Drosophila melanogaster: one gene and its partners. The gene in region 2 interacts genetically with the main gene of each other region. Each region holds a gene or a part of one and is shown on either strand. Other genes may lie near its edges. The genes, in order: MTF-1, ZnT35C and ry.

The links.
Region 1: of ZnT35C (region 2) and MTF-1, changing one suppresses a phenotype caused by changing the other (phenotypic suppression), as found in Drosophila melanogaster (one study listed by BioGRID).
Region 3: of ZnT35C (region 2) and ry, changing one suppresses a phenotype caused by changing the other (phenotypic suppression), as found in Drosophila melanogaster (2 studies listed by BioGRID).

The regions. Positions count from the first base shown.
Region 1 is NT_037436.4:9,427,827-9,434,708, reverse strand, and holds the start of MTF-1 (metal response element-binding transcription Factor-1), read right to left. Parts: upstream 4,398-6,882; 5' UTR 4,188-4,397; coding exon 3,376-4,187; intron 1,024-3,375; exon of another isoform or gene 811-1,023; coding exon 663-810; exon of another isoform or gene 314-662; coding exon 211-313; exon of another isoform or gene 164-210; coding exon of another isoform or gene 1-163. Other genes in the region: CG42526 (uncharacterized protein), read left to right, coding at 1-163; RpS17 (ribosomal protein S17), read left to right, coding at 5,012-5,014, 5,384-5,535, 5,595-5,835; Shc (SHC-adaptor protein), read right to left, coding at 6,275-6,882.
Region 2 is NT_033779.5:15,243,779-15,250,974, reverse strand, and holds the start of ZnT35C (zinc transporter 35C), read left to right. Parts: upstream 1-3,260; 5' UTR 3,261-3,380; coding exon 3,381-3,412; intron 3,413-4,622; coding exon 4,623-4,801; intron 4,802-5,014; exon of another isoform or gene 5,015-5,302; coding exon of another isoform or gene 5,303-5,417; intron 5,418-7,196. Other genes in the region: dao (down and out), read right to left, coding at 87-327, 1,409-1,836.
Region 3 is NT_033777.3:13,029,485-13,039,550, reverse strand, and holds ry (rosy), read right to left. Parts: upstream 7,024-10,066; 5' UTR 6,786-7,023; coding exon 6,744-6,785; intron 5,934-6,743; coding exon 3,333-5,933; intron 3,052-3,332; coding exon 1,738-3,051; intron 1,673-1,737; coding exon 1,622-1,672; 3' UTR 1,531-1,621; downstream 1-1,530. Other genes in the region: CG11668 (uncharacterized protein), read right to left, coding at 1-176, 268-410, 552-724, 774-1,024, 1,077-1,138; l(3)87Df (lethal (3) 87Df), read right to left, coding at 8,102-8,216, 8,282-8,469, 8,540-8,569; CG46281 (uncharacterized protein), read left to right, coding at 9,797-10,066; CG46280 (uncharacterized protein), read left to right, coding at 9,500-9,632.

The DNA of each region.
Region 1 (6,882 bases), on a different chromosome or scaffold from region 2:
CATCGAGAGTGCGTTGAAGGATAAGCCGGCGGAGCCCCAAGATCCATTCTACAAATATCTAGAGAGCATTTTGACTGGCGTGGACGATAGTACTCGAATAGATATACAACTAAAAGTGCTCAACTTTGTCAGTGACGAAATCAAGCGAAGTAGACAAACTTAGTTTACGAAAATGATACCAAAGTAATTGTAATATATATGGATACTCACCCGTGTGGGTTTTTAAATGCGTTCGCAGATTTCCAATTGTGCTGTAGCTGCGATAACAGTTCTCATAATTGCATCTATAGCGACTGAGAGCCTCATCCGAACTCTAAATTGCGAGTATAACAATGCTATTAGGTCAGATTCATTGCACTAGCTATATGGTTAATATAGTATACATGTGCATGTTCTTTAGAATGAGACAATTATGATGAAATGGATTCATGCTGAACATTGGGTCCGAGTGATATGTTAGGGGACAGCCTTTCGAAATAAGCAGATACTACGCACCGCTAAAGATGGTTAACAAAACTTGGCTACACACGCCTACAGCGGAATCACAGGAATCGGATTCTCCGCTAACACTAGGATTAGGATGGCGAGTAGCTACAAAAAGCGTTAGGCAACGTAAGGCACGTTAGACATTGAACTAGCGGTTGGTGATTGGGTGTGTGTACCTCGTAGGCCAACGCCATTAGCTGATCGTTCTCGTCCTGCCTCTCCACCTCCTCCTCATCGACATCTTGGTGCAGCACGCCCGGTTGGATGCAGTGGGCCAGCTGCTCGTCCTCGTCCGGCTCATTTGGATCGTACTCATCCACATAGCTGGAAGATTCGGCCGAGCGGGGTAAAGAGACCAACATGGGGGAAATTTATCGAATTTGCAGTTGGAAACAAACAGAAAATCGCATCGGGCGGGGCATATGTATATTCCATCCGATTTGTGTGTCAGTGGGCCGTTAAGATCTTTGTATATAATTATAAACGCAACAAGTATATGTACATACATATATACAAATATATATATATATATGAATGAAAATTGCACAGATTGCGATTAGTGGGTTTAGAGCGTCAGCAAACAAAGTCGTAAAGGCGATCGAATAAACAGCCGTTTCCTGGAGGGCTCTTCTGTCCTTATTAATCAGATTAATTAATATTTAATGTTGTCATGGTCAAAACACAACAAATGGCAAAATAAAATAGCAGACGGCAACAGAAACTATAAAGAAAAGCCGAGGGAAGCAGAACAACAAGTGCGTGGGCGCTGAGACGGCTGGCATGCTGACTGACGGGCAGCGTGCGTCCCCCACGGACCCTTCCTCATCCCTTTTGCCACCGGCTCACCCATCGAGATGCCCCTCCCCCCGCCCCCTCTAATCATGGGAGTACTGAAAAATGAGAAATATGATTGAGGGAACACTACTCATGGCGGTAAAAATAGCAAGAGGGCGTCGTCGCCGAACGGGGAGCACGGCAGGAAGGAAGGAACACAACAAGCAAGGCACGGATGAAAAATTGAAAAATTATTGTACCGCAGAATAATGAGCTAGCGAAGAGCAACAACAATGTAGAACGTAGCGAACTAAGCCCATCACAACAGATCATTTGGACTTAGTCGCGGGAAAATTTAGTTTATGACCGATTCCGCATATCTTTTGAAGGGTTTCAATCAATCGGGTACTTTACGTATCAGCTGGTCTAAGTCTATCTATTACCCTGTACATTTTATCAGTCGATTTCCTGTATCATCCATATCTATTGAAATGTGAGTAAACATTGTGTAAACCCTTCAGCATTCGTGACTTATCACAAAGTTGTTAACTAAGTTTCGGGAGAACTGATTTGCTTTGTATTTATATTAAAAGCCCTATCAGCTGTACATGTTATTTAGCCTATTTCTAGAGAATAAAGACCTTTGAGACATTTACGATTTTTACCCTTTGGGAAAAATAGAATATATAGAGAAAACTTTTTATAGTGCCAAATCGCACTTTGTTGGGGGAGAATTTCACAATAGAAGCCACTACAATTTGGATTCTTTTGAAAACCGGCTTCTTTACATCAAGTGTTAATGAGTTTCGGGGAAATTTTCGGTCGTCTTCGCCTAACACATTGTAGAAATATACATCTATGTATGCATATGTATATCCATCTATACATTCTGCTTGGCATTTGGGGTGGGGGTAGAAATCTAAATGCGTTCATCGCCGCAACTATTTTTGGCCCAAACAAATGATTTTCGATACAATCATCAGCCGAAGTGGAGGCCCAAAGGCATGCAGCCATTATGATGCCCATTGGCACATAGTCTCGGTAATATTGGATGTTTGCGACGAGGGTATGCGCTGGTCGAGTCGATTGAAGCGCGCAGAAATGCAACAGGCTGAGAACACAAATCAGGCAATTAGCAAGCAACTTGCAAGCGATTCGGACACCGCGTTGTAATAAGTGGACATTGGAACGCTTGAAATTTGCCAACACAAATTCTCGACAAGGAAGAAAATATGAAAATTCGATTTTGCCTCTTTTTTTTCGTGGGCAGCCAAACAAAAAGTGAAATAAAATTTAAAAAAAAAATCGGACACGTCACGACAGACGCTAGGCAAATGTTTTCCTTTTTTCCGCGCTCTCTCTCTCTCTCTCTCGAGAATCTTTTTGTGTGTGGGCAGTGGAAAATTAGCAGCGAAGAGGGGCGGTGGTGTCCCTGGCGGGGGTCAGAATGCGGAGGGCAAGGCACACCTGACGGCCCACTATAATTGGCCAAAAAACGACAAAAGCACCAAGCACAAATCCACTCATACATGACACTAAAAATATGCAATTATTATTCCCGTTCTGGCTTTTGCACCAAATCGAAATTAAGTGATTTTTTTCGTAAGGCAATCGAACGATTTCAAGGACTGGCATAAAATTAAATATTAAATAATATCGGCAAAAAAGTGTATATATTTTTAATATTTCATAATTCTGTGCTCTAATCATAACATAAATTTAATGAATTAATTATGTGCTCAAAGCTTGAACCAAATTCAATATCTCAAATAAAATGCTTTGCCAAGACTTATGATTTATTTTGATTTTTTGAATTCAATAATTTTCCTTGAATTTTGTTTAAAATATATGGCAAAATTCTTGCTTCGATATATATACAATATGCATACACACATATGTACGAAGTTTCGAGAACCGATTTTTTAAGGCAATATATAGTTCTGAATCTATATAAAATTATAGTTACATTTTTCTACACGAATAATATTGCAATTCCAGAACGGGTTGTTGTTATCATATCTATAAAACACCACGCCTAAGCAAAAAAACATTCCAAATACAAGCAAATCATAAAATACACATGCAGCGGTGGGTGTACGTGCAAGTGGGGAATACCTCGTCTCAATTGTGAAATAAGCTGGAGAATTGGATGTGGAGTCCCTAGAGATGCTGTTTCCAGTTCCCTGGTCGTTATCACAGTTGATTGGAGGATTTGCAGCCTCGTTGGGGCTGGACACCATGCTGAGCGAGACCACAGTGGGCGGCTGGACTTGGACGAGCCTCTGGTTCTCGAACTGGTATTCCAGCGTGAAGCAGATGTCATCCAGATTGAACACCTGGGCGGTGATATCGCTCAGACTGGCTATCAGCGGAACTTCAGAGTGGCTGGAGCTGAGATTCTCGGTGGTATGGTGATATGTGATGGGTATGACCGTGATGGGCAATGGTGTTAGTTGATCCGCAAGCGAAAAAGCGTTGTCCGCTGCCGCAGATACAACAACTTGTGAATGGCCATGAGTTTGAGATGCAGTGAGTTGATCCTGGGCACCGAATAGGTCGCCATATGTCGCCTGGGCGTCCCCCGTATCAAGGGTGAGGCCCAGATTAAGCACCTGTTGCTCGCCACTTGTGGATTCCGCCGTCTGGCTGCCGTAGATGCTGTAGTTGTCCCCATGGATGATGCCCAGCCCGTCGGCCTCCAATTTCGGTTCGAGCAACTGAGCTAGTGGCCTGTCGAAGTCCAGGGAACCAGAGGAGGAGCAATTGGATGTGACGGGCGGGGAGCCGGAAAGCGAATTGCGCGACGAGTTGGTATCATAATCCCGGCTGTCTGATAACGAATTTCCATGACTATTAGCGGTAGTCTTCCACTCGCTGTGGAAGTAGTGTTGTTGTTGTTGCTGGTGTTGTTTCTCTTGGTCGTTCATGTCGTATTATTTGTTATTTGCACACCCACGCACACTAAGACAAACGCTTGCTATATCGCATATGATATGCAGTTGTTATTCTCTTTCTCTGCTGCCACCGTGCAATATGTACATATATATAGATTGCTAAAGAAATTAGAGATCGCGAGATCGAAAAGCACACATCCGCGATCGAAAAGCACAAGCAACAACGATAAGAACCAGTGTGACCATGGGCGGAACGACAAAATATAACGCGGTTCTGGCTGAAATATACCATAAACTGGGATATACCGAAAATAGTGGAACGCAAAAGGGGACACCGCTTAGTGGGGACTCAAACCGCGTGTAGAGTTTTAGGCGGAGTCTCCAAGCGTGGTGTGAAATTGAAACTAAGGTGTTCTAATTTAAAGAATGAATAAATTTGCGAAACCAATATACTGCCGAATAGACTTATTTTTAAAGATTTTATATATTTTCTTATAAAAAAGAGTTTGTTTCATAACAAGTATTCTAGCCCATATTTAGGTACCATTGCACTGTACAATAGTCTCATTTAAAATGTTTAGTACAATAATGCGGTTTTTGTTAAATAATGTGTTCTAAGGTTCAAGTCCTCTCTTATTTCTATTTAATTCATCTACCTTCGAGATTTGCATAATTATGGTATATTTGCGGTATATTTTAGTATGTTTTTCACACAACCACCCTGGTCACACGGCATCCTTCTTTTTCTTTCGTTTCCGGCGAGGTATGTGCACAAATTTTGTTTCTCCACGTTTTTCTTAAAAATAATTGCTTATTTCTCATTTTAGCGGTGATTAAAATATCCATCGAGCAACATAATGGTACGTACCAACGAAAAACTGGCTGAACTCGAATCAAAAAGCGGTCAAACAAGCATAAAACGGCAACGACAGCCGCTTATCCCACGTGCATAGTGCCAATTTTGTTACCCCAAAAGCAATTATTTGTATCCGGCGTCTTGAAACCGTCCTTAATATCAATACCAAATAGCAATTCAAACGGAAACTTTAAAAGAAACCTAAACTAAAACCGAGTGAAGGCCTCTTACATTAAAAGTCCCCGAAAAATGCCGCAACTATCTCAGAAAATCAGCTGCAAATAACTATTTAGTTGTGACAGAAAACTATCGCAAAGATACAACAAAATGGATTGAACTATCGTGATACTAAACATTTTATCAACTACCACAGGGTCGCGTACGAACCAAGACGGTGAAGAAGGCCGCTAAGGTCATCATCGAGAAGTACTACACTCGCCTGACGTTGGACTTCCACACCAACAAGCGCATCTGCGAGGAGGTGGCCATCATTCCCACCAAGCCCCTGCGCAACAAGATTGCCGGGTAAGTGCCGCTCAAATCTCGTTAGTGAGTGGATCTATAATCCCCAAATTCCTTTCCAGCTATGTCACCCATTTGATGGGCCGCCTGCGTCACTCCCAGGTGCGTGGTATCTCCATCAAGTTGCAGGAGGAGGAGCGTGAGCGTCGTGACAACTACGTCCCGGCCGTCTCCGCTCTGGAGCAGGACATCATCGAGGTCGACGCCGACACCAAGGAGATGTTGAAGCTTCTGGACTTCCACAACATCCGTGGCCTGCAGCTCACCCAGCCCAACACCAACAACTTTGGTCGTCGCAACTAAGATTTGTATAGCGCGTAGATGATGATGTTCTGATTTGCATGGGATCACAATAAATTTGTGTGAAGTGCATTTAAAGTGTATGTTTTTGTGTTTCAATTAATTATGCGTATTCGATTGAAAAATATCCAAAGTGAACATCGTTTCCAAAGTGGCTCACCAGGCAGGAAACTCGATCTAAATTCAAGAACCCCAAGTCTGTGTTCCGTTTATCATCTTTATTCGCATTCGAATGGAAAATACTGTAGACATGCACATATTTGTAAATATGTTTATATTCAATCCATAAATATATGGGTTCGTTTTTACACAGACGATATATAAAAGATATTCTACGAGTGCACAATATTTAAATCTAATCGTGTACGCTGATGCCAGTATATATAATTATTTGTTATGTATATGATGGGTGGTAGCTATACGTATGATTGTTCCCTCCGGTTCAGGAAGATGCTGATGTAATGGGCGACGCAGCCTGATCCTGCTGGGGTCTTCGCACCGGATTACGCAAGACCAGCTCGGAATCCTCCGAAATGATGGGCAGCGCGTGTGCCCAGTGGTAGTTGATCAGATGGCTAATGCTGTCGAAGATGCGATCTTTGGTTCGGACCACGCCCTCGGGATCGATGAGAAGCAGATGCTTGGGCGTCTTGCCCTCTAATCCGGTTAGTACGTACTGGCCCCGCTTTCCCTGTGACTCGCGCACCAGAAAGTCGCCGTCCTGCTGCAGCAAACGCTCCGATATTGGTCTGGATATGCCCGCATGGAACCACACCTCCGCTGTGAGCGGGCATTGCGGTCCGTCGAACACATCGCGAACAGAGGGCAAAACAGAATTGGCAGCTGTGGTCGCTTGGAGGGGATCAAAGTGGCCTAACTTATTGGTCGTCTGATCGGGAGGCGGGGAGTTGAGGTCGATGAGGTTGCTGCTCAGGCGATCGCGAGGCTTCTTCAGATTCAGTTGTGCCACACGAGGCGCATGCGGATGGAGAGGTTGCTGCACCTGCTGTTGTTGTGGTTCCGGCACTTCTGGTGGCAGCTTGTTTGGCA
Region 2 (7,196 bases):
TGTATGCATATTGACCAAAACTGTTTAAGCCAGTGTGGTATATGGTATACCACTTAATCCATTGCTGAAATACATGGATTTCTTACCGCATATAGACCGCAATCAAAGAGAACCAGGGAGCGATTGGCGTGGGCCAGGGCGGCTGCTAGCGTGTTCCGGGCGGGGGCCAGGAATATGGCCTCCGTGAATAGATCGCTGGCCTTGAGCGGATGCCGCTCCTTGCGATACGAATCGTTACCAGCCTCCCGCAGACGACGAGACTCCTCCTCCGACTTGAAGTGGCCCGTTTGGTGGCGCAGATGTTGAAACCATTTGAGTACGTGTGGCCTGTGCGGTTGGCAAAAGGGTGGCATGGTTAATTATTCACGGCAAATGTCAAAACGAAGTGACCCAAATACCGAGTTCGACAGCAAACAATGTTTCTTAACCTAAACGTACGAATGCATGCAACCGACTATACTGGGCCGTTATTACAAAGTGGTAAAAAGTGGTAAAAAGTGCTGGCAACAAATGGATGGATGGATATGAACCAAATGAAATGATTTAAATGTGACTTCAAAATTGCACATTTTTGTAAACCTATATTTCGATTAAATATTAATTTCTAGTTTATTAAATATTAATTTTTAGTTTATTTTTTTTTTTTTAATCGGGTCATTTAATCTTAAACGAAGCCCAATGTGCAAGGGTGCAAAATCACCTCCCACAAATTAAATTAATTTCGTGGGGTAATTATGGATTTGCATAATAGCTTGGCCTAACCAACATTAGGCCACTGGTTGAAAAAGCACCACGCGTTTTTAATTTGCTTTGCATATTGTTCGAGGATGACATGCGAAACTATAAAAAAATCAATGTAATAATAAATACGTAAAAAAAAAGATTTATATTAAACATTTATATGTGTGGAAAAGTAAGCTTTTTGTCTGAGGAATTTTATTACTGCTTCTAAAAAATGCCTATTTCTTACCAACACGTAATACACATTCAAGCAAACGCATTTTAGGTTTTTTCAAATAATAAAAATAATGGATACCCTGGACTATCTTATACCCTTTACTCAGCTGAACGGACGTGCTTGGCTGAATCGTCATGGCTAGTCAATCTGATTATGAACATAAATACTTAAAAGAGCCAAAAACGAATCATTGTACTGTTACATACTTTTCCCCGAATCCAGCATTCCCTTTTGCTTTACACATAATGGGTATAATCATTGTACAATGTGAATATGTTTTTTGTTTTTAAACTTTCTTCCTGTTTTAGGATATTAGATAACGACTATGTTTGCTATTGTGAATTGACACTATCGACATTCTTAACGTTTTGACAAATCTGGTTAGTTAGTGAAAGCGATTAAGTTTGGGTTTGTGCTTTTATGGACTAGTGGCCACATCGTTATGTTTACCTAAAATCTAGCACCGGCTCCTTGGTCGTAGTTGGGGACGAAATACCGAGTCCGCCCACCGCCCCAATCAGGTCGTCATCCTCCTCGCCGTTTTCGGGACGCGAAAGTGGCGCCGCCGAGGTGCTGGCCTCCAGATCGCCATCCTCCAGATTGCGGCTCAGTTTCTGGCGTTGCACAGGCGTTATGAGCAGGAGCAGCTGCAGCTCGTCCTTGTGCAGCAGCTCATCGGCGTTCAGGTGCTTCAGCTGCTGGCCAATCAGCTCGCTTAGGGTCACAGCTGGCGGAGCGGAGGCAGTAGCTGCCGCGGAGGTGGCACCGGAACCGGAAACGGCAGCCGACGAGGCGGTGGAGACGGGAGCGGTGGCTGCGGTGGTGTTGGTGGTGGCTGCTTTGTTGTTCCCACGCGCAGAGGATGTGGAGGAGGCCATCACTTGGTGGCTGTTTGGTGCTTGTGGCTCGCTTTTTTCTGGTCTCGCGCTCTCCTTCCGTTCAGTTGGCCATGGCCATCTATCTGGTCACTGCCGCGGCGGCAGTCCGGGCGAATTATCGGCTATCAATTCGAGTGCACAACGCCCCGACATCATTGACTAATAACGCTAGCTAAACTTTCACGAACTCCCGCACGTTGTGGCCTTCATATTGATTTTTTTAAAACATCGCCACTCGTGCCAGCGATGCGCGAGTCGTAACGGACCTATCGCTTAGGGATGACACTTGCCAGTTACCGTTAATCTTGGGGATGGTATTTCAAGAATATTCTATCCCATATTATGCATTCACCAATCCCAATGAATTAAAAAAGTTGTGAACCCTGTACCTATGAAATAAATCTTATCTTATTATATACCCTGCCCAAAACATTTTTACTAATATCAAATCTTTAAGTTCTTCTTATCGTTTGATCTTTATGCTTGAAAGAGTTTAAAATATATATTTCTAATTTTAAACTTAGAAAAGTTAGAATAAGGAAAAACGAGTTTGTAGCTTTTGAGCATTGTTATTTTATTAACCTTTCAAATAAACCACCTATTGTACAATATTTTCCTATATTTGTAAAGCCAGGGCTTCATTTAAAAATACCAACATCAAACTGTTTTCAGCTATCTGGCAGCCCGAGAATAAGCGCAAAATTCAAAAATTCTAGCGAGTGCTTTGCGCCCATTCACATTCTTATCTGCCGGCTGGGTAAACCTGCTCTTAAAAGCAAACTGATCCCGTTGGTTGTCTTACCGCACGTTACCATCATTGAACGGTCCGTGTGCTATATTCACACTTGACATATCATACCTCCTGCTGATAAGAATGGGCATCTTTCTTCCCCTTTTTCGTTTCACATTGCACGCAGAAAAATGTTGGCACAGTATTAAAATTAAAAGTTTTTATTTCCTTAAAAAAGAAAGTACTAAACCCAAAGATCTGATATTCTGTTGATAACTTTATCAATCATTGTTATATCTATGATGAATCTACCTTGATTTACATTTGTTTAATTTTTAATTTTAAATCTTTATTTTGAAATCCGCTTTGGCATTATGTAATTTTCAACAATTATAATTATGCGGATTATATTATTCTATATAAAGATATTATCTATCTATATATTATCATTATATATATTATTATTGGGACGAATAATGTTTACCTTTGCTTTGGAATATATATACCAGTTATTTTTTTTGAGTGTTTTGTTTCTGCTTTATTTTAGCTTCTAGACTGATCCACCCCTCCTCACCTCCCTCGAAGTACAAACACATGCATTGCACTCGGCTCTCGCCGATCTGAAAGTTGTAAGTTAAGATAACCACGATTATCTACTATTTGCTTGAATCTTATCATTCCACAGCCTCTGTGAATCAGTGGAGCATATGGGATCTTATAAGAAACACTTGTCGGTGCGGTCTTGTGTTGTAACGTGTGGTGTTAGTGTGTCTTGTTGAAAAAATATAAAGTGAGTTAATATTCGGAAATAATAATGTCCAGGAACGAGGATACACCGATTGCCAAGTAAGTTATGGGATGCTGGGAAAACGGTTTATCGCCTGACTTCCTGGGCCAAAGTTTGCGCAGCGCAAAAAGTTGGCCGAATATAAAATCTCTTTTGGGCCAAATTAACATAAAGCGCCAAATGAGCTGCTGATTTGTTAAATAGGCGTAAGAGCGGACCGCGTGGGAGCAGTGACAACTGTCGGGTTCCTGGAGTCTTGGGATTTTCTAGGTGCGCACAGGCCTCCAAAAGTTGGATCGAAAGCTTAAAGTGCGACGGCTAACGTATTTTGCTTGCTGTTTTTTTTTCACTCGTTTTTCTTTTTTTTTTTTTGATTTTTTTTTCTTCCTTTGTGCAATTGCGTTGGAAAGTTGCAGAGCAAGTAGTTTAGCGCCATTTGCACTTTCCGTAGTAAAAATTACGCGCACTTGCTCTGGCACACCCACGCCCACCAACGCACGCCCACCCACGCACACACACACACCCATGCAACATGAGAAACTTATCAACGGGCACATCACACGCACACACACGTGCTGCTGATGAAGGCGGCGTCGGCGGAGTGGGCGTGGCCTTTAAGTAGTCATCGTAGTTTGCGTTAAGTAACAAAACTTCAAATTGAATTTTTCGCAGCACTTTTCATTTTAGCACCTATCAAAAAAACTCCTTTTTTCGGTGCATTTCGCCTCGCTTTCCAAAGCATCAAGCTCATTACAGTGGCAACTGCCTGCTGATGGACGGTCGGTTCGGTGGGGCTTATGGCAGTCAATGGCCCCACTGTACATTGTGTCTGCTTAAATGCCGCAGTGTTTTGTTGGCACCGGCAACGCTACGTTTTAATTCTCTGCCGGGGTTTTTCCAGTCGAAGCTGCCACGGAAAAACTTTTCTTGCTGTGGCTGCACTTACTTACTTCTCATTCTTTTGGGCGTCTTGCACTTGTTTACCGTGGAAAACAAGTGCATTTCTATAGAAACTTGTGCAGAATAAAACTAACGAATGGCACATTTTAATTAAAGAATTAGTTGGGAAAACGTTATATATTGTTTAGACCACATTCCAAACTTGTTTTGTGATGCACACTTGTAAGATTATTTCTAGTGGAACATCATAAGCTAAATATGAACATTTTGATTAAAACTAAAGCATTTAGCGTTTACAGTATGAAACTTATGAAACTTATCGGTATAATCTTGAGTTTTCCATCGAGTAACCATCTTCTTCTTCTGCAGACGCGACTCTGGACGGACGCGCCGTAGCAACTATGGCACGGCCCCATCCTTTCACCTGATGGAGCAGGGACAACCAGGTGTGAACGTAGTCGCTGGCAATGGCAACAACAATCACCCGGCAACGCCTGCAACACCTGCTCAAATTTTTTGTTTACACGGGCGGTCCAACAACGTCGAAGGTGAGTGAGGCAAGAAGGGGTTAAGTTAAGAGGGCCTGAAATGGGGTGAAAAGGGGTTGAAAAGGGGCTGCGAGGGGCTGAGGGGTGGGCTTAAAGCGGTGGCAAGGTGACTGTGACAAACGGCGGGGCACTTTCGTGTCGCTTTCAATCAGGTCGGACTGCCTCGCAGCAATTTGCAGTCATTCATAAATTATCAAGAAAACGCAGCAGGCAGCGGCATTTTGCACTAAAAGTCAAATGCAAACAAATCAAATTCGACAACAACGAAAATCAACCAAATTAGTTTTCACATTGTTATTTTTCCGTGTGTGTTTTCCCCACCACCCCCCCCACCCAATTTTTTAGGGTACCGAAGCTTGATTGTTCCTAAGCGCGGATCGTTGATTGTTTGCTTTCCTTAATTTTTTTTTTTTTATTCGGGTAAAATCGAAAAACTCGCTGCAATCTACTCGTGTTCGGACCCAAATGTATGGGTGACTGAGGAGCTGTAATATCGGGTAAATGCTCGCTAATTGGCAGACGGCACGGAAATCGTCGGAAATGAATGATGCCCGGCTATATAGGAATGCGGCAACTTCGCTGGATAAAAGCCGCTTGGAAATGCTGCACGAATATGGTGAGCAAACAACTTACCACCTACTCGAAGCTTTATTTCCGCCCATTCCGCTCACTATTCGCCCATACACCAACCACCCACAACCGCCCCTTGTCCCCGCGCCCAGTGTCATCAATCAGCTGATGATTCTCGAGGTTGGCAAACCAAATTATGATGGAAACTGGGCCGGCTAGCCGGAGAGCAATCCGCTGTCGCCGCCGTAGCCGCCGCCCAATCCGCCCAATCCACCCAATCCACTCCCCCCCATCAGCATCTGTGGCATAATCAAAATTTATGCTCTTTGCTGACACACCGCTGCTGGGAGCAGACCGCATCCCACCACTATGGCCATATGTCATAAATCGCCCGAGGAGCCAGTGTAACGCTCGCCATAATTTACGTACGACATCGTCGATGGACCAAATAAATGTTTGAATCATTTTTTTCATTCATTGCCATCATACATAGGGTCAGAAACCGAAAAATCGACGTGGCTATCTCAAGTTTATATTTTAATTTCCTGCGCTTCGGCTTTGAAACTAATCGCATACCCTGTAGGAAAGGATTTGGTATAAGTAACGACTGCATTCTCGGAAGCACTCAATATCAAAACTTCAATTATCAGCCATCTGTTCAATTACATATATAATACAATAGCTATGCCCCATTTTACTGACAGAAAGTACATTTAATGAGTATGCGATAGTCGCAAGTAGCGCAGGAAGAATGGTTCTGCTTTTTTGGCGATGATTCGATTTATTGGCAGACGAGCTGGGCCCAAAATGAAATTAACTGGCGTCTAGACGAGGTGGATCCGCTACTGAAAGCTGCCTCCATCCTACACTGCCACACACAGCGATATATTCTCGTAGTATATAGTATATATATTATGCAATCGTCTTGGGGCGCTCGGTGCATTCAATCATGGCTTGAGTTAGTGACTCCTATTAGATAGCTCAACTAGCCGAGTGCAGTTCGATGCAGCTGCATTGATTTGCTTTGGCCGTAGTTAGTCGTTTGTAAAACGCGCTCCAGATGGGTCCATTCGCAAATGCTGGAATACTAAGCAGTTCGAATAGGTCCGTGTCCATTGTTCCCTCGAGTGAACGTCTTCCCTCGTTGTTATCGCCGCGTGCTCCGATTTCCTGGTTATGGATGTGCTCAGGCGGAGTGAGGCGGACCAGAGCAATGGTAACTTGCTAATTAGGACAGGAGATGATGTGGCGTGGAAATATACATAGTATATCAGATGTGAAGTTATAATCAACATAATGAGCGCGTAATCAAATATGCTGAGCCCTCGTTAGCCGAAAGTCTGATTTGGTTTCATGAGGTATTCACTTCATTTGATGATATAAAGTTTGGGTATAGTCAGGTGTTTATTGCGCAAACAAAGCGCTTGCCTAAACAGTTAACAAAATCCAACAGCTCTAGCAAAGAAAGTGAAATTAAAATTATTATTAATATTAAATTATTAGAATTTTAAAAAGAAAGAATTTTGATGGAAATATTTTACTTTGAAAGCACTGGAAAATGATAAATAATATGAGCTTCAATTTGAACTATTTGAAATACAGAATACTAGGGACTTATATTTTTCCGTGTAACAAGTGCTTAATTATATAAAAGATGTTTCCAGCCATCGGATTGGATCATCTTTAGATCTCAGCTGGCGTAGATTCTGGGCACCTGTCCAGCTATTGGTATTGATATTTGCACATAATGGAATTGCTTTTGTCGCGTATTTATTTCTATCCAATTAATGCCTGTGCGCCGGCACCTAGCCATTCCCGTTCCCAT
Region 3 (10,066 bases), on a different chromosome or scaffold from region 2:
TCCACAGGCAGGCCACTGGCATGTGTGATCTTCTGGCCAACTTGACCACCGCCAGGTCATTGGTAAGGGTCTCCGCATCGAAGTGCGGATGCTGGCTAATTCGCTTGATCTCAATCAATTGCCCGCGACCGCTGTTCAGCTCAACGCCACCAATCAACGCCACTGACGGGGATTCCCTGCTCGAATTCAAGATATTTTTAACCCATTAGCATTTCGAGTGTTTTCTTTGGTTTTGTTTTTCATTTTTATTTATTTTTTTTTGCTTACCCACCGACGCTGGCACAGTGTGCTGCCGTTATGGCGAACCGAGGCGCAATCATGGCGCAGCCACAGTTGAACGTGTATCTGCGCTTGCTGGAACCGTGCTCATGAATCCATCTGTTTGTGCGGGACGGCCAACCGAGGGCGCACTGTAATTGAATCGAATGTAAATCTTTATTAATCTACCAAATGGCTTACAATATCAGATTGCTAATTTTTTACTGTTTCAAAGGCAAATAAGTTTCATAAGGTTAGATTTTGGACTGTTTTCCTAATTGCTTAAAACTCACCATATACGGATGCTCGTTCTCCTGGGTGAGTCTGCCGCCCACCAGTAAATTCTGGCTCTGATTGTGCTTTTGTATAATTGGCTCAACTAGTTCCACTTGATCCAGTTTAGGGTTCGTATTCCGACGGCGTCGACGGCGCTTGTGATGAGCTCTTGGATAGGCATTGGCACAGGCTGGCAAAAGATATAAGTTCTGGATTCTCTGAATTCCTTTCATACGCACCTTGTTCGCTCTTCGAGATGCTGGGCGGCGGCAACAAGTATCCGCCGTGTGGACAGCAAACCAACTGATTGGGCCACGATGACGGACAGAGTAGTGGTGTCACCCGGGGCACTGCCTGCATGGCACTAATGCAATCCACGTACCGCACACACTTACCAATCAGCGGACGATCGTGGGCTTGGCAATTTCCGTATATGTCAATCGATAGATACGATGGAGCCACTGCGTTCCAAGGCGCATTCTGTGCATATCTATTGTAATAATGGTTGTAGTGATAGCAACAATTGTTCTGCCGATACGAACGCTAACGTCGAAATTAAGACGAACTCTAAAATCAATCTGTATCCAAATGATAGCTTTCCCATCTCGGATGTCCGAGCTCTACGACGTCAGATTGCCGACTGAGATGCTCGCGAAGATCTCGTCTCATAACCTGAGTTCCATACAAAGCTTCTTTTGATTGAGCTTATATTTTCGGTTAGCAGTCGCGCCGAAATCGGAACTCATATTTCAATTCATCGGAAAACTTGCTCAACTTTCATTAATATACTCAAAATAAATAGTGACTAAGACTTTTCAATTGAAAATCAGAATGCATTGCATGCCACGAGATTCTATTGAATAATAGATAGAACAAAAAAGTAACCATTGAATTTTTCTTAATCTAAAAGGAATATTTAATATTAATCAGTGGTATATAAATTTGTTCAAACAGCTCTCCAGCTTAGTTTACACATTAAACGACTCAATTATTTTTAAAACATTTAATTCACTATGTATATATAAACAAATTAACAAATAAAATCGTCATTTTAAATGCTTAAGCAGTACAAACAATAAAAACAATTTTAAGGCACAATGTTCCATGGCGTAAATGATCCTGGTTCGGGTATTTCAAGCTATAATTAATAAATTAATAATAAAAGTTAGTTTAATGTTATAAACTAATCCAAGGGTAACTTACCAGTTCCGTGAACTTATCCTGACAAGCAATTCGAATGCGTGCCGATGTGGAAGGCGCCTCCAGTGGGAAGTCACCACTCAAGCCCTGATCCTCGCGAGCAGCTGCAATGGCCTCCTTAATGGCAAAGAATGCAGATGATCCAATGAAGAGCGGAGGTTCACCCACTGCCTTGGAAGAGTAGACTGCCCGTGGATTGGGGGCACCGGTCAGTAGGCTGACATTGAACTCCCCGGGAATGTCGGCAAATCCTGGCAGCTTATACATGCCCGGACCTCTGGAGTAAAGCATGCCTTGTGGTGAGTACATGAGTTCCTCCAAAGTGAACAGTCCATAGCCCTGCATGAATGCTCCCTCGATCTGACCAATGTCAATAGCCGGATTCAGGCTGGAACCGATGTCCATTACGATGTCTGTGCTGAGCACCTGATGGTCGCCAGTCAGGCAATCGATCTCTACCACAGTGACTCCCACGCCATTCGTGTAGTAGCTATAGGTGCGGGCATTGGGATTCGTTTCCGGGTGATATCCAATCCCGGGCATGGCATAGAATCCTGTGGCCGAGAGGCTGACCCGATCGAAATACGCCTTGTTGATCCACTCCTTCCAGGTGCCTCCAGGCAATGCCTCCTTGATGGGCGCCAGTCTTTTGTTCAACTTTTCACACGCATCCAGTACGGCCATTCCGTTCAAATCGGATCCCACACTCGCCGCCGTGGGTGAAGTGTTGGGTACTTTATCCGTGGCCGTTTCCGAAATGTGAATCAGTTCCGAAGGAATCCCCAGAGCCCTGGCGGCGCACTGAATCATCTTGGTATTCAGACCTTGTCCGATCTCAACTCCTCCGTGCGAAAGCAACACGGATCCATCACCATAGATGTTGATCAGCGATCCCGCTTGGTTCAAGTGCATCACTCCAAATGCGATTCCATACTTGGTAGGCACCACCGCCATGCCGCGTTTCCGCCAGCGATTCTCCCGATTGAATCGAGCAATCTCCTGCCGCTTCTCGTCGTATCTCGACTGCTTCAAGCAATCCTCCAGACACCGCTCGATGGGGAAGTGCTCCAGCTGCTGGTGGTAGTGTGTGTAGTCTCCAGTCTTGTAGAAGTTCAGCCGCATCACATCCACCACATCGCGACCCACTATCCGGGCCACATCCCGGATGATATGCTCACCGGCGTACATGCCTTGTGGTCCTCCAAATCCACGGAAGGCCGTATTCGAGGGCAGGTTCGTCTTGCAGACCCATCCACCCACGCGAACGTTGGGAATCCTGTAGCAATTCTCAAAGTGGAACATGGCGCGCTCAAGAACCTAAACATAGGATTTATATATTAGATCATTTTTAAGAATTTTTAGATTATTATTTATAATTGTTTATGTCAATATAATCCTGGTGCTTGCTTTCCTGATTAGACCTAAACATTCTTAAAAGTTTCAAACTATTTGCACTCAGGATGATAACATATAGGGGTCCTAGAAATTCCCACACTAACCAGATGTTCAATGGAAAATACAACACATGGATATTTGAGCAAACATGGTATGCATAAAGAAACCTACATATGGATTTTCCATAAACCCACCACTCTTACCGAAAATGACAGATCCATGGACCAACCGGCATTGTTGTAGCACTCAATGTCGCAGGCAGTGATCAGACCCTCCTTGGTGAAGCCCACTTTGTATTTGAAGAGGAAGGGATGCCTGGTGCCGGTGATAAGCATGTCCTCATCGCGATCCAACATACAGCGCACAGGACGACCCATTCGATAGGCGGCCAGGGCAACGGGTAGGGCCACGGAGATGCCTCTGGACTCCTTGCCGCCGAAACCGCCTCCCAAACGCTTGGCACGACAGACGACACGGTGGGCAGGAAGTGCGGTTACATGGGCCACTAGCTTCTGCACCTCCGAGGGATGCTGCGTGGAGCAAAAGAGTTCCAGCTCATCGCTGTCACGAGGTACCGCCAATGCAGCATGGGTCTCCAGATAGAAGTGCTCCTGTCCGCCCATTCGACAGGTGCCCTCGAAAGTGTGATCCGCCTGGGCTAAAGCCTCCTCCACATTGCCCTTGGTCACGAATCGAGGGTAGTCCGGGAAATAGGACTTGTGCTCGATGGCCTGCTCTATGGTCACGATAACCGGGCTCAGCTCCTCGTACTCCACTTTCACTAGCCGAGCGGCTCTTTGGGCCAACGCCTTATTATCGGCAGCTATGGCGCCCACTATCTGACCATAGCAATGCACTTCTCCAGCAGCAAAGACGTGCTCATCATGAAAGACGGGTCCCACTTCGTTCTCGTGCTCCGTTAAGTCCTTGTAGCAAAAGAACTGATGCACTCCGTCCAGGGCCAGAGCTTCACTGGCATCCAGCTTGGTGATCTTGGCACGTGGCTTGGTACTAAGGACAAAGGCCAGATAAACTTCACCATCCATGCGGGGAATGTCATCTGTGTAGATAGCTTCACCAGTGGCCTGTTTCAAAGCAGCCGCATGAACTTTTGGTCTCCCAATGGGATCACAGATGGGTTGATCGCTGCAGACGCGCTCGAAGAGCTGGGCACTTTTGAGTACTGGTGTGTGGAATGTCTCGGCACCACTTCGCTCCTCCGATGGCAGAGCATCGGAAGATGTGATCCCTGACTTGCTCAGCTTCAGGGAAATGGCCAGATAGGCCTTGAAGAACAGGCTCACCACCAGAGCTCGACGATAGGCGATCATGCCACCCGGAGCGGAGGCAGCCAAAGGCAGCTCCGTGCACAAGCTCTCCGCCACGCGCTCCACGAGCTGGTGGCTCCACTCCTGCCCAACCATCAGTTGGGAAGTTCGAGGAGCGAGCACTGTGGTTGGTGCCATTCCACCAAAAGCCATCGAGATCTCCGCCACAATGTTGGATTTTTCCTCAAAGCGAACGTTTATTGCGGCATTTACGATGGCTATGTCATCATCCCTTCTCCTGGCCTGCTTAAAAGCAACGATATACTGGTCCGGAGTGGTCTTCCGAAAGTGGATGCCCAGCAGCACCTCGTGGGCTTCGATAACATTCCTGCGATAGCCAGTGAAGAACCCAGTTCCCATGTGAACTGATCTCTTTTGGAGCTTTCCATCCACAAAACTGGCCACCTCCAGTTGAGCTCCTGCTGCCGAGAGCACAGGATTCATATCGGAAATGGGACTACCGGTCATGATGTTTCCACCCAAACAGGCGACGTTGCGGATCTGCTTGCCGGCAAAGTAGTGAAGCATATCCACGGTGCACTGGAACAATCTGGTCTCCGATTCCGGCAGCTGCTCGATTCTCTGCCGCAGAAGCGCATCGATCTCCATCAAACTGACAGCCGCACCGAAGTAAATGCCATCCTGGTTCTCTTTGATCTCCAGCAGCTCCTTCACCTGGGTGGGATTAATGAGGTGCGGGTAGAGGAAGTGCTTGAACTTAACCTCAACGCCCACTTCCGTATTGCCCACGACCAGCTTGGCAGCCGGATGTTTGGCCTTCAGCTGAAGCAGCTCCTCCAGATTGGTGGGACGATACCAGGTCACCCTATCCGAACTAAAGATCAAACTCTGAGAATCGAAGGCGTCACTCAGCTGAAGTTCCGGTGGGAAGATGGGTTCCTGGCTGGGATCCAAGGGCTGGAATTCGCTGCGCTCGAAGAGCTTGTCATCGGTCTCCGCATCGGTTCCGCATCCTTTCCCACTAACTTTGCAGCACTTCTCGCCCATTCCGCAGGCAAACTCCTTGGTGAACGTCTTGTAGCCCTCGAGAATGGGTCGATAGCCGGTGCAGCGGCACAGGTTACCTTGGAATGCCACCTCCAAGTCTCGCATAGAGGGTTGCTCCGCGTTCCGCAGAAGTGCGTACATGGACATCACAATGCCCGGCGTGCAGAAGCCGCACTGGGATCCGTGCGCCTTGGCCAGTCGCTCCTGCACCGGATGCAGACGCGTTTTGGTGCTCCCTATACCCTCCACAGTGGTCACCGCACATCCGTGCATCGAGCACACTGGCGTCAGGCAGGCGTTGACCGCCAGGTGACGTATCTTGTTGGCCCGACGGTCTAGGCGGGACACCATCACGGTGCAGGCGCCGCATCCGCCTTCCGCACATCCCAACTTCGTTCCGCACAGCCGCAGCTTTTCGCGCAGGAATGTGAGGAGCGTGCACTCCGGATCAGGCGACACTTCGGTCACCTGGAATAAGAAATGTATAAATATAATAAAATGAAAAAAACGAAATCAATTTCCCAAAAGTATCTAATGCCATTTATCCATTAATGGGAAAATTTGTATCTTGTATCTTGTAGCTTTAAGATCTGTACCTACTTAATTATAATTGCTATAATTATAAGTTTATATGGTTTAAAGCAATTGTTTGTCAAAACTGTGACTTTGTTTAAACTTAAAACAGCGAAAGTGTTATCTGCTCTGCCAGCCCTGAGCAAACAGAGATTGCTATCTATCACTATCAAATGCCGGGCGCACGAGCAACTGGTTATTTATTATTATTTACTTCACTTGTGCGCAAGCTGTGAGCACAAAGTAAAGAACTCCAACTGCACTCCACCAACACCAGATGCTAAATATGGCCAGCTTTATCTGAATAATCCAGCCGAGCTCACTGGATTGTAAACACCGCACAGCCGGTGGGAATGTGCGGATTAGAGGGCCTGGCTATCTGGCAGACACAAATGCCCATGACGATCCCAGCTCACCCACATCCGAGTAGCACTGCTCCCATGCGCGATTGGCAAGTGCACCATCTTGATCGGGCGATAAGGGGCCACCAGCAAACAACGAGGCTTCACATGGGGGTCAATTGTTATCACTATATGCACAGCAAATACTATATACATTCGACACATTCAATTGAGCAAGAAGGCAAATTCCATCGAATGCCAGTTAAACGCAATTAGGGCAATAAAACAATAAAGGGAATCGATATAGTAGGAGTGGGCCGACTTTAAGGAAAGACACGCAAGGCATCCGAGTATCTTTAAGTACCTTCTTTCCATTCACGAAAAACACCAAAACCGAGTTAGACATCGTGAAGTGCTATGTATCTGTAGCTCACGGTATCTCGCTGTATCTCAGTACCAATGCCTATATAAGTGTTAGCCTGCAATTACGAAGCTCGTTTACATATATGGAGGGGAGGAGGTGCGTTCCTTGAATGTAAAGCGAAAACAAGTTTTTTATTTCAAAATTAGAGAACCGACAACCTCATGTGCCCGCCGATTAAAAAACAACACAACCGTCTCGCGCCGTCAACGAAAACGTAATGAATGTGCCAACAGCCAGCCGAGCAATCCATCCAAACGCCGACTTTTATTTTTGTGAGATAAGACGAGCGACCGACGAGTGCAGGATCGCCTACATGTGCGTGGAAATGGCCATGTCTAGGGGTTACGAGGCAGCAGTTCTACTACCTGCTATCTCGGATTAGAGCAGATACCCATCCGAGATCGGTGTGGTCAGCTAGGAAAGCAATCTGTCAGATAAAATCGTACTGATCACTATTCAGCATGAGAACTGCAGCTTTTCTATCTCAAGAATTAAGACCATTTTGAAGATTGTCCTTCAGTCTCAAGAAACACCAAAACCTCGGTATAGTGAAGTTATTTATCTGTATCTTAAAGTTTTCTAGTACCACGATACGCTTTTTTTTTAAACAAAATGTTCACAAGGTGTTCAAACTAGGCAAATATATAAATCTATTTCCTAGCTATATATCTTCCAGATTTATAAATAGTATCGAATTAGGGGTATTTCAGAGAAACGTACATGAAATGCAATTATTTTTCAGAATATTAATTGAAACTTACTTTTAGATACTTTTTTAACCTTTCATTTCATTTTTGTGATATGGCTCCCACTCAAGTAAAAAGTATACTATCTAAAGTTGTAAAAATGGTGCATTAAATAACCCTTTTACGTACCAGAACGTATTGAATATACAACTTTTAGACTGTAAATTTTGCTTTTATGTAAATGGTAAAAAAAAACTATTAAAAAGTTAAAAGGTCGTCAAAATGGGTTCAAGGTTCTTCAAAAGTAAACAACTAGCTCTATCAGCTTAAATCAAATCGAAAGCACAATAAAGCCCAACAGGTTTTAGGAACCACAATCATTAAAATGATGGATTGATTTCTGTCAATCCCAAATCAAAGATGGTGGCATAATTAATTCCCTACGAGTGGCAAGCTAAGATTTCACTTACAACATATATATAATATATTGGCTACTATAAAGTTTGGTAACAAAAGGTAGTTTACAACACAAGGGATTTAACAATGCCAGGATTACTTGGTATCCTAGAGTGAAAACAAACATCGAAGTAGTAATGAAGGATCTGACTTATGCTACGCCGACTTCAGATCTAAGTCTCTCTCCCTTTGGGTGCCCTCATAAAGGGCTTGTCGTCTCATCGCCTCACGCAATTGCTGCTGCTCGAATCTCCTGACGGACCATTGATACCTGCGGATGCCACATTGATAATTAAGTGATAAGGGCGCCGCACGGTTTTAATCACAGTCACTTACCTGCAGGTCATCCAGTAGGCGATGGTGCCGCAGAAGAAGGAGCCGAAGCCCACGTGGGTGGACAGGTGGGTTCGCGAGGTGCCCAGAAAAGTCAGCAAGCCGATGCCGATTCCTCCGCTGATTCCGTAGAGAAAACTGTTACGAAAGCACGGGATCTGCGCCACATCGCGTCCGAAGATAACGAAGCTCTATGGGAGATTAAACATAGTTAAAGCTTAATCAGGCACCTGATGTCCAATAGATTTATGTAATCCATACCTTGGCGGGTTCCTCGGGTTCTTCGGCCATGCTGCAATTGCAATTTTAAAAGTCAAGTTGCAAAGCAAAACAAAACAAAAGTGTGACCCTGACGTTACTAAATAATAATACCACGGACATGTTAGGGGCATTCCAAAAACTGATATAAAATTAGTTATTCCACTCCTATGCACTAAGAAATTTGGACTTATAATTAAAAATAAGTGTAGCCTATATTTATAGCTAAATTATGTTGATTTTCTTGCATACAACATATAGCGTAAAACCTTTACAACTAGTTTAATTTGCGCCTTATCGAAGTCGTTGCCTATCGAACCAGAATCGATTACTCGTTTCTTGCACTAGAGTCGCTCTTATAATTGCATTTTAAGCATTAGGCAACACTGGTCGACGCTAGCAAGAAGAATTTAATCACAATTTAATTTCTTTAGTTTTTTGGGTTTTTATTTAAATTAAGAGCACGCATTGAATCAAAAACGTAATCAGCGCCAATCAAATTGAGTTTTCAATCAGCAGACAGTCGTCAATTAAGGCCTCTGCCAATGTGCCCCAAACATCCAGCAGTGCAACAACACCCACACTAAACACAAATTTTCAGGTGAGTAAATTAAGAAAACACAGAATGCCCAGGTGAATTACACAAATTCTAAGGCAAATATGTGGAGCACAAATGTGTGTGCGTGTGTGGCGCAGACTTTAAAGTCAGTCGAGAAAACCCGACTGAACATAATCAACTGGCAATGTACGACACGTAGGCAGAAAAGTAAAACAAATTTGCAGTTTGCAGAGAGTAAGGCAAACGTATTATCTATATACATGTCTCTGATAATCGCTCTTCAACTCTGGGTACTCCACAGTTCTTCGCCAGATGTTTAAACGTCGCCTCGCCAGCAACCGAAACCGAATTTCCACTAGCAACCGATTCTTCCAGGCCTCCAACTGACCCAACTGAACACGACCATGGACGTATCCGCCTCCACGTCGTTTGAATCCTCGCCGGACAAGAGAAACAGCATCTATGTGGGCGACAACACTTTCTACGACAGCGCCCTGGATCACCAGCTGTCCACCACGGCCTACAAGTCGTGCAATGGTAAGCATCCAAACCTATACAAAGCCCTCAAGATCCTGAGTAGCAGAGATCCGCGAACGGAGGGCCACGTCTTCCAGGAGAATCACCCGTTCTCCTCGAAAGCAGAAAAGTTTCAGCGGTCGGAAAAAGAAGTAGACCTCTCTACATACGGGCAGGACACGGATATGGACCACAAGTTAACCGAAATGGGTAATCAAAGCGCTTCCTTCACAAATCCGGAGTATATAGGAGAATCGGAAGAAGATGAGTTTCCTTCGAGAGCTATTTACGAGCAAAAGAACCTCATAGATGAGCACGACCAATTGGATCGCAAGGTTAATGAGCTCAAACTGAAGCTCGTTGTTCTGCAAATTCAAACAAGACATCAGAAGCAAACGATCGAGAATCTTAAATTGCAGAGCAGCCAAAAGCTGAGCTTCAGTCAGAGCATAAAG